Drosophila melanogaster: one gene and its partner. The protein of the gene in region 1 interacts with the protein of each later gene in a pairwise test. Each region holds a gene or a part of one and is shown in the gene's direction. Other genes may lie near its edges.

The links.
Region 2: the proteins of Lamp1 (region 1) and CG6479 interact in a two-hybrid assay, tested with the Drosophila melanogaster proteins (one large-scale study listed by BioGRID).

Annotation. Positions count from the first base shown.
Region 1 is NT_033779.5:21,571,423-21,577,644, forward strand, and holds Lamp1 (Lamp1), read left to right. Parts: upstream 1-1,966; 5' UTR 1,967-2,072; coding exon 2,073-2,139; intron 2,140-3,364; coding exon 3,365-3,691; intron 3,692-4,542; coding exon 4,543-4,764; intron 4,765-4,820; coding exon 4,821-5,161; 3' UTR 5,162-5,681; downstream 5,682-6,222.
Region 2 is NT_037436.4:17,336,649-17,341,187, reverse strand, and holds CG6479 (uncharacterized protein), read left to right. Parts: upstream 1-1,925; 5' UTR 1,926-2,008; coding exon 2,009-2,031; intron 2,032-2,051; exon of another isoform or gene 2,052-2,076; coding exon of another isoform or gene 2,077-2,087; coding exon 2,088-2,392; intron 2,393-2,451; coding exon 2,452-3,059; intron 3,060-3,115; coding exon 3,116-3,445; intron 3,446-3,504; coding exon 3,505-3,867; 3' UTR 3,868-4,016; downstream 4,017-4,539. Other genes in the region: CG13727 (uncharacterized protein), read left to right, coding at 1-265, 395-909.

The DNA of each region.
Region 1 (6,222 bases):
CCTTATTTTCTGTGTGGGGGCCTAGTTCATAGGGCTGACCCTCTGATATGCAGTTATTTCAAAAAGTGTGGATATTATGTTTGAATTATTCCTGAAATGTCCTTAAGCAAACGTCCTTTAAGGTGGTTTAGGGAACATTTTGGAACACGCTCTCCGATTGGAGATATTCCTTAAAAATTGGAATACATATTTTTTAGTTGCACATTTTATATACCTTCTTAAGTCCCATAAAATAAAGTCGTACATACATAGTTAGACCAAACTTTTCTAAAACATTTAGCTTTTATATTTTTAAGGATTCACCTGTAAATAACGAAAAATAAATAAATAAAAAAGTTCCCATGAAAAAAACTCCACCGTTCCGCCAAAGACCCTAGAATAACAAGATGCGTAACGCCATACGATTTTTTGGCACACGATTTTTTGGCCGTGGCTCTAGAGGTGGCTCCAGGCTCTCTCGAATTTTTGTTAGAGAGCGAGAGAGCGAAGAGCGCTACAGCTAACAACTGTATGTGTGCACACGTATGCTCATGCATTGTAAATTTGACAAAATATGCCCTTCACCTCAGAAGTTCTTAGACTTTAAATCTATATTATTTTTGATCAATTGGCACCATGCGAAAAATTCTTGTTTTGCATTGCCTTAACGTTATTATTGTTTGAAAATAGATTAGAAATAGCCAAATCTATGTACATATTATCACAAAAATAAATTTCAAAAATGGCTTTATATTAGAATATTTGTCATTAGAGTATTCATATTGAGGCGTGTGAAAAATTAATAAGGCAATGATTGTTGAGTGCTTGTGTCCGCACTTCGTGCCGCAAGATATGAACAAAGCAAAGACACTAGAATTATTCTAGTGTCTTTGATATGACTTTTGCAATAAACAGTTATCATATTTTTATGAAATTTATGAAATTACAGTAGTTATAATAATTTCTATTGTACTTCCTTTAATTATTTAGTATATTTATTAAGTCATTTGACTTAATATGATGTAACATTAACATTAAAAGTGTTTAAAAAAAATATTTCGCTTTTAAAAAATTGTCAGATGAAAGACAAATTAGAATTAAACAAAAATATAAATGTGTAAACGGATAAACGAATAATTCTAGTGTCTTTGCTTTGTTCATATCTTGCGGCACGAAGTGCGGACACAAGCACTCAACAATCATTGCCATATTAATTTTTCACACGCCTCAATATGAATACTCTAATGACAAATATTCTTACATAAAGTCATTTTTGAAATTTATTTTTGTGATAATATGTACATAGATTTGGCTATTTCTAATCTATTTTCAAACAATAATAACGTTAAGGCAATGCAAAACAAGAATTTTTCGCATGGTGCCAATTGATCAAAAATAATATAGATTTAACGTCAAAGAACCTCTAGGGTGAAGGGGATATTTTGTCCCATTTACAATGCATGAGCATACGTGTGCACACATACAGTTGTTAGCTGTAGCGCTCTTCGCTCTCTCGCTCTCTAACAAAAATTCGAGAGAGCCTGGAGCCACCTCTAGAGCCACGGCGAAAAAATCGTGTGCCAAAAAATCGTATGGCGTTACGCATCTTGTTATTATAGTGTCTTTGGTAATACCTAACATTTTTTCATTAAGTCAATGAACTCAAAATATGGAAATTAATTTATAAATATTTCCACTGTGTTATAAACCCTGTGTGTTATAAACCTGTGTTATATAAACCCGTGATAAAATTATAACATGTTATACATATAATTCTTTCGATTGATCAGAAATTAAATGTTTGATAAGAAAATGTACTAATTGTATTATATTATGGAATTAAGAATATATTTTTTGGTATATTATTATTATAAGTTTCATTAAATATCGATAGACATCTTGCTGTAGTGGACATGTACTATTATTACGGTTCCATATGGGCTAATTTTAGTTCTTTTAGAAATTCGGTCACACTATTGATGAAGAAGGTCAAAATAAAAACTAGCTCAGTCGAGACAAAAACGTATGTGTCAGTGTAGTAGATTAACGTATAGAAAAACTGCAACACAACTTAAGTGAGATTGCCATTCAATATGTTCGCCAACAAATTGTTGACCTGCTCGGCATTACTAATAATGTTATTTTTACTAAGCAGTACAGGTTAGTGCCAAGCCAATTAAACCCTTTTTAAAACAGCAATGAAATGCGTCGCATTGGAGGCCTTTGTTCAATGTGATAATACATCGCAGTTCTTTTTATATGTATATGTATGTCGTTTGTTCATCGCACATAATTTATTTTTCCGGTGCCGTTCACGTCGCCATATGCGTTAGTGTCTTATCGGCGTAATAAGGTGTAAACGGTTGAATTGCGAGTTTTGCCTTCGTAGATCAAGGGTTTTAAACCTATTTCAGTAATCTGGCTATCCTTTCATAACTCTTCTAGAAAAATGGTGTCGCTTACGTTCGTTAGCCCCGGAGAACATCCATTTTTACCCCTTTCGCTTATTTGTTCTGGCAATTTACAGTTTTGTATGCAGATAAAGTCATCCGCCACCGTATGCATCCATATTTATTTTATGCACTTAAAATATTTATATGCATGGGTGTATAAATCGGCATATCATATTAAATTTGTATCCGCCATATAGCATACTTTAGTTTTTGGTTACTATCTGTCAATTCATATAACAAGATTTTGGGTCATTTGTTCAATACCAATGTTAGACATTTGTGCACATAGTATATACAAAATAATATATGACATAAAAAAAACAATCTGTGATAAAATAACAACAAGAGATAACGCTATAGTCGGTTCTCTGACTATCAGACTATGATAAGCGGATAAGACAACAAAGACTTGGAGCTAGACTGGGCATATGTATGTACCTACATATTTGGGGAGACATATTAAAATAAACAATTTAAAACATTTTTTTTTATAGCATGCGTGATAAAATGTTTCGGCATAGCAACAGAAGGATAAATGATTAAATCAGAAAATATTTTTTATTTTTTAATTTGTAGTGTGTTCCTACTAATCTTATCTTGTTAAATAGTTCTATAACCAGACCGAATTTAAAATTCGATTTCGACCTTATACATTTGGTTTGTATAAATATTTGACAATATGTTACGGTACGGCCATTTTCATAGGATCTCTACAAATCACTGAAAACGGAAATAAATTGTCCATCAAGTCCAAACTCACTAATATAAATAACAAAGGGTAATTTTTTGATAAGAGAACAAAGGAAATACAATTAGAGCTAACCATATGTACATTTGAATCTCTAATAAATAATTTTTTTTTCACGTCAATTTAAAGAAAATTCCGATTTAATAAAGAAAAGCTTTAATATTTTTAAAAATTCTTCTTTTAGTGTTCTCTCAAAAGCTTATTGGCTTGCCGAGAGTCGGTAAAAATGTTAGTGATTTGTTTCTGGAACAAGCAAACCCACTGACCAGCAGCTCCTCAACAATCTCAACGTCTTCGACAACAACTGAGAAACCTATCACAACCAGATCAACTTCTACAATAACTCCGAGATCTACCACACCTTCAACGGAATCACCATCGACCACCGCACCAGTGATAAGCACGACCATTGCCCCGCAACCATATCCGCAACCATCCATTGGGGCTTGGAATACCTCTTGTATTATGCTTCAAATGGCGGCACAACTTAATTTTACCTATGAGGCTAGGGGTAAGAAAATAAATCCATATTTAGATTGCGATCGAATTACGGCATTGGTGAGGTATGGGCTCTATTAGATTTTATAGAAACTCGTCTCACAGTTTTAACATTTTAATGAACTTACTGAAATCGATAAGGCAAATATTTCAGTTTAGATTAAAAAGAGATGTACATATGTAAGGATATATGTATGTATATTATATATATTATATTTACATCACTGTACACATAGAAATGATAATCAAGTTTTCAGACAATAACGAGTGATGCACTAATGATGCACTAAGGGTAACGTAAGGATAAAGACGGAGCGCAAGTTTGTTGACCCATGTTGCCACGTCCACAAACCATTTTTTTTCCCATTTTATTCCCCAATATCTATCGATATCCCAGAAAAATTATAAAAGTTGCGTTCGCATTCACACTAGCTGAGTAACGGTTACCTCTTCGGGTATCTCTTTTGTTTTTAGTTTAAATCGAATGGTGTATCAAGACTTACATAAGTAGTACATCGTATATATAACTTAATAACTTTCACTCCGTTTTGGACCATTTATAATAGTTATCTTTTAAATAATTCATCAGTAAACCAGTATTTAACATATTAAAAAGTGTATAACAGGTAGAAGAAATCGTTTCCCAGTCGAGCTCAAGGAAGCTGGGTTCGGTAAAATCGAATTTATGAAATTTGAAAGCTGGAATAGTCTGTCCATCTATGCTAATGGGCAAACGCTTTTTATTAATTATTATTTGTACTTAAATAAGCAATTATACTTACTTCTAACTTCATATATTATTATAACTAAAAAAAACTTGCATCTTTGTAAGAATATCCGACTAACGAAGACTTTTATCTTTAGAGGGAAACTTTACCACCGGTCTGTACAACATCCCCAGCAACGCATCTGTTGAAGATGCAGAATGTAAAAGCCAGACTACTCAGTTTATTCATCTGATTTGGGGACCAGAAACATCAAAGCAATCATTAATTATGTATTTTAATAAAAGTAATGACACCACTGTGCTTTCCTTTATGCAAATTCATCTGGCTTTGCTGCCTGAGGATTTTCCAGATGCAAAGGGTAAGAAAATATAAAAAATAGTAGACAGATCTGTGTCGAATAATCCCCAATTCCAGAAAATCAAACGGTTCAGCTTATTACCAGGAGCGACGGAGCGTTTAAGACACCAGAAAATATGTCGTATCACTGCACTCGTGTTCAGAAGATAAATATGACTGAGACACTCGATGCTGAGCAGTTAATTGGTTGGATCAGCGTCAGTCATGTTCAGGTGGAGGCTTTCCGGAGGGCCAACGACACTGGTTTCTCAGTTGGACACGATTGCGATAGCTCGGAAACTTCGGATGTGGTTCCCATTGCCGTTGGAATTGCTTTAGCTGCATTAATTTTGGTGGTATTAATATCATATCTGTGTGCTAGGCGTCGTTCCACCTCCCGCGGTTACATGAGCTTCTAATAGAAGGACATCAGCTTAATTGGGCAGGTTGCGAATCAAAGGAGTATGGACAGCAAATTGTTAGAGAGAAATTTAAGATTGATTTTTATTATTGGAAGCCAAAATTGATTAGTTGAAGTTGAATTAGTTTTTTTTTCAAGAGGGTCATCGAAATCATCAAGCGCAATTGGGTTTAGAATAATAAAACGGTTCTTTAAAAACTTTTTTACGTCTCTGTCTTTGTAAGTGTCCGATATTGGTTCTTGTATGCTGATATTTGTGTTTTATTTAATTGGTTTGAGCAATGTAAATGTAAAATAAAAAAAAAATTTCTAAATAAATTAATCTCTATAATGTAGCTACCGTGTTAACCCTAAAAAGGTGGTGTCAGAGAGGACATTTCTATTGTTAAGGCAAAAACCTGTACGCAATACCAACAAGTATACATTCTATTCAAATGTTATATTTTTTAAACATTATTATTGGGGCATATAAATGTGTGTATTCCTGACCTTAACTGTAATAAATAATATTTAAAACCAAGCACAATAATGATTTTCGTTTGCTGGAAAGGGCTTATGGGAAAAATCTTAAAATCATTTTTAATTTTATACAATTTTTATTTTAAATTATTTTAATTGGTTAATTATTGCGCTGTTCCTGTTTAGATGAAATTCTACGCTCCTGCAGCTGACAAAATACATGACCTGAGCTGGGCATCATAAGTTGTTCCTTTAGCAACTCGAAACGCTCCTCGGCTAGTTCATAATCATTCTGCGCCAAGGCCACTAGGCCCAGATTGTACCTGGCTTCAAAGTTCATCGGCTGAAGTTGCAGAGCTCCCTCAAACCGTTCGCGTGCTAATATTAGGTTGTGCGAGTCCAATTCCACTATGCCGGCGTTGATCAATCCTGGCGCATTGTTTTTTAGCGATCCTATTTCATGTAACTGGTTAACGCAATGGGAGGCCATTTCTAGGTTGCCTAACTGAAATATACGTTATGTTTTTAAGTACAAAGTGCATGTACTTTATTACACGGTACCTATAAACTGCTAGAGTAAAATGACATTTAAATTAGAGT
Region 2 (4,539 bases), on another chromosome or scaffold:
AAACGACAGGCTATCGTGAAACTGGACCCCGTGGGCTCCGCAGTAGCCAAGAGCTACGATCCTCCCCCGGAGTTCTACCGCGGACCGGGCTCATCGTCATCCAAGTTGGATAGCACTGCAGCTGGCTTCATATCCAAGCCCATTGGTGCGCTGCCGCCTTTTGGAGGAGCTCATGGCTCCCAAGCTAGTGACCTAAATGATAACCTTAGCCAGGCCTATGATAAGTGGAAACTAGGTGGGAATATACACGATCGAATAAGCGTGGGTGAGTTCAAAGATTACTCAATCTATATATTCTACAAAGATAAACTCAAACTTAAAATGATTAATATTTGAAATTGATGACTGTTGTTTATTGTAGATTTCATTAAAAATATATTTAATACTATTTAAGGGCATTATGGCAGCAGTGGAAGTGCTGGCAAAAGTTACGCCTATGACAGTCAACCTTATCAGTATGACTACGGACCATCCAACGGACATGGCTATGAGCCAGGACCTGCTCCTGGGCACACCTACTCCTCCAGCGGAGAGGCAGGGGTGCCATACCACGTTTATCGACCTCGACCCGAACATGGCCACTACCCGGGGCCAGCAGTGGATTACTCCTACAGCTCCTACCCCATCGACTCCCACGAGATAGTCTCCCACAAGGGATCGCCAGAGATCTCACCAAAGGCCTTGCTGGCCAAAAGCTTCCTGATTCCGCTGGCCAGTGCCACCGTTCTGGGCATCGCCGCCGCCCTGGTCAGTAATCCTCTCCTGCTGCAACTAGCTCCTGTTCCGGGGATCGGTGTGGGAGTGGGTGTCGGACCTACAGTCGTTGGCAAACGAAGAAGGAGAAGAAGGGCAGTGAAGCGGGCTTTACGATCAGGGAATACTGATGCAAAACTGAATAGCTCTATCTAAGTACCGTCCTCTCGAAAATGTATTAAATCAGGAAACAATATATAAGATATTATTTTTAATATATCATATAGTTACAAGCGTGTTTTTTATTTAAAGTCAGTGATGGCATTTAAATAATTTTAATAATTTAAATAATTTAAATTAAGGGTCTAATGCTACGAGAGCCTAATAATTAGTTGTCTATATGGAGAGAATAAGATAACGTAATTTTAAGTGACTTGTGGAACCTTTTGTAATGGCTATATGTAAGTTTTTTTTTTACATTAGATTGCGTAATTAGTCGACTGAGGTTCAAACCGGCTCGTTGGTCTAGAGGTATGATTCTCGCTTCGGGTGCGAGAGGTCCCGGGTTCAATTCCCGGACGAGCCCCAGTCATCCCAGTGCGCTAAGGAATGTATAATTTTTAAACAAAAAAGTTATATTTTATAAATATTTATTTTAAAATATTTTTAAGTTATTGAGAATACACATTTAGTTGCATGTGTACACAATTATATACAATTTACTTAGGGAATGAAATAAATTAAAAGTTATTTTATATCATTAAAAACAAACTAAATTAAATTAAATTAAGGAATTTTTTAGCGTCCTCATAAATGTTGCAAAATTGTTGAGTCTTCGGTTTTGTACGGCTTATGTCATAATATATTGAAGATAGAGAAAAAATTTGTTTAAAAAACAGCTAATTTTATAACTACTCTAAAAAATATTATAAAACACTGCATTTAAATGATAAATTAAAAGTTGCTGATAAGTAATACGTTTAGAGTGGGTGAATAGCTTTAAACATTCGGATAAACAAAAAATCATTTTAAAAATCATAAAAATAATTTTAGTTCTATTAAAAAATATGATATCATGGATATTGATCCATACCAAAGAAAACATCGCCGATAGGTGTGTGTCTTCGCTAGGGAAAGTGTCTCCGCTAAGGTATCTTGAGCCAACAAAGTACATAACGCGTTTCATTCCAAACGGTATTTATTTTTTGACCTTGTGGTATTCTAACTTTTTGTCTGTGCTATCACTTACAAACAAGTTTTCCCGGCATTTTCGACCTATTCAGGTGATTTTCTAATAATTATCACATAGTAGGCAATGAATTTTACACGGACTAATTGGTAAGTGACAGAAACTAGTGTAGAATTCAGAAAATTAACCCATGAATGCTCCTCAGCTCGCCGCTGAGTAAAAACCCAGTGGTGCAGCGCAGCCTGGACTTGCGATTGCAGGGCGCCCAAGCGCGGCATTACCTCAAGTGGTGCTCCATAAATGTGGTGCTGCTGTCGCTACTCCTCTTCGACCTCTGGCAGGCATGTCGGTCCGCCTACAGGACCTACTGGTTCCTGGCGGAGTGCACCATTACGACCCTGATTGGCCTAAGTGCACTCGCCTGCTTCGGCAAGTATTTGTGGTTATGGTTTGGTGGTGACCAAGTTACGGGTAGCGATATCCAAAAGTGGCTGCTTGATGGCAAGGCAGGTGAGGAATCCAAAGGAACCCGTTCTAACGCATCCACTTAACCACTTTTATTCCTATAGAGAACTCTTTTCGTACAGTTTGCTCCCGAGCCGTGATGAAACCACGCAGCTACGAACCGGATAGCGATATAGAGGACGACATACCCATCATCAACTGGCACTCCTCCTTCGAGGACTCCTGCTGGGGCTCGCAATCCATGCGCCGCAGCCCCAGTCCCACAAGGACGCCGCAGCAGACGAAACAAAACACCTCTTACAACTCCTCGATGGTTCGAAACAACTCGCTGAATGCCAGCAATCTGAGCAACGAGTCTACCTATATGTCCCCGTATGCGGAGGTGCGACGCGATGACTTCATGACCGATACACGAAAGTTGACCAGTCTAATGAAGCAGGCGGATCGGGAGCGCAGCATGATGGACAGCTCGGATACACCCAATGTGCAGAGCATGGGATCGGCCAACTCCTTCTGGAACTACTGCAACAATGCGGCCTATATGCTCAAGACCACCATCTATCAACTATCGCCACCTCCGGCTGTTTCTACGGAAAATGCTCCCACCTCGATTGAGGAGTTTGGCGGTATTCAGTTTAGGGACAGCAATTCGGAGGTCATCAAGCGCATATCCACGGACAAACTGTCGCAATATGTGGCCAACCTAAGATTTGTAAGCATCCCGTTCAATATTCCACTGCAACGTACTAATGTCTTACCATTTTCTAGTGGATTTCTACGACCATACTTCAGCGTTTGGTCAAAGAGATCAATTATGTGGACGATGTTTTCCGCCAGCGAGCTCTGATTGACATTAAAATTGGATCTGTGAGTGTAGAGAGATTACGCAAAACAGCCGAGAACCAGCAGTTCGTGCAGACGTGTGCGCCCATGTTGCCCATGCTCTTACCTTTCCTGGACACCTTCAGCAACCAGGAATACCTGGTGCAGCGCATCAAGGAGCTTGCGCAGGGCTCTTGCATAGCTGACTACCGCTGGTACTCGGGCAAAACACACAACGGTCAGCAGCGGGACGAGCATTTGCCCACCGATGCAGCTGTGAGTATACGAAATTCCGCAACTGAGCACTCTTGATTAATTGTAACCTCATTCTGCAGATAATATTCCATTTATTTTGCGTGTACTTGGATAGCCAGTTGATGCCGTTGCCGCAGGGCGGCGGACGACCCTTTCACTCCCGCTACGTGTTAATTCGCGACGAGAAGAGCTCGACCAAGGACGTGGTGAACGCAGTTCACAACAAGGCCCACTGCGCCATTTTAAGTACCGGCAACCCACTTAACCCTAAATTTAACTTTATCAGCGACAAAGAACTACACAACTGCGTCTACGATAGGAATAACCTGTTCTACGTTATCATACAGTTCCTAATTTATATGCGACAGCACCAGGACTCTGCTCTGGAGTGCGTAAATCTTGGCAAAAGTGGTATCAACATCATGTGCGTCATCGAAGACTGAACAGTGGAACTAGTGGCTATGACTTTTAATCCCACCCCTAATCACTCCTTACTTCTAAGCATGATCCTTTGTGACTCGACTAGCGTTTGGTGACTGGACAATCCTCATCATTCGTTACTATGAAATTATACATTTGTAATTATTAAGCCAACTTACGACTGTTGTGGTTTCGCGGTTATCAAGTGTCGTGTGGCCTGCGGTCTGTGCAATTAACTTGTTTGGCAGTCGGCGGTAAGCTATATTCGCGGATATGTGCACACAGGTGCCCGACTTTAATTGCCCTTTCATGATTCTCACTATTGACCAGCCAGTTGGTGACCTGGCCATTGGCTCGGCCAGCGACATGCTCCCACATGCTCGCCACTTTGCACTTCCGAAAGTGACAAAATTAATGGTTTCCGCCGACGCTGTCGACATTTTGTCGAGTGAGAGACATTGAGAAAATGCTCCAAAGTAGTGCAAAATGAAGGAGTCGCAAACGGAGACCCCTAAAGCAGGCGCCAGGACGAGCAGGACCTGGGCCCTCTCGACCAGTCACATTACCATTTCTCTTGGCCATGCTCATTTCTGGGCTCTGGCTTGACGTTGAATCGGTTGGCTGGTTATTTTAATGCCGCCCATACTCCCGGATGCCCGGATGGCTGGATGGCTGGCACCTCGGGTGAGTAATGT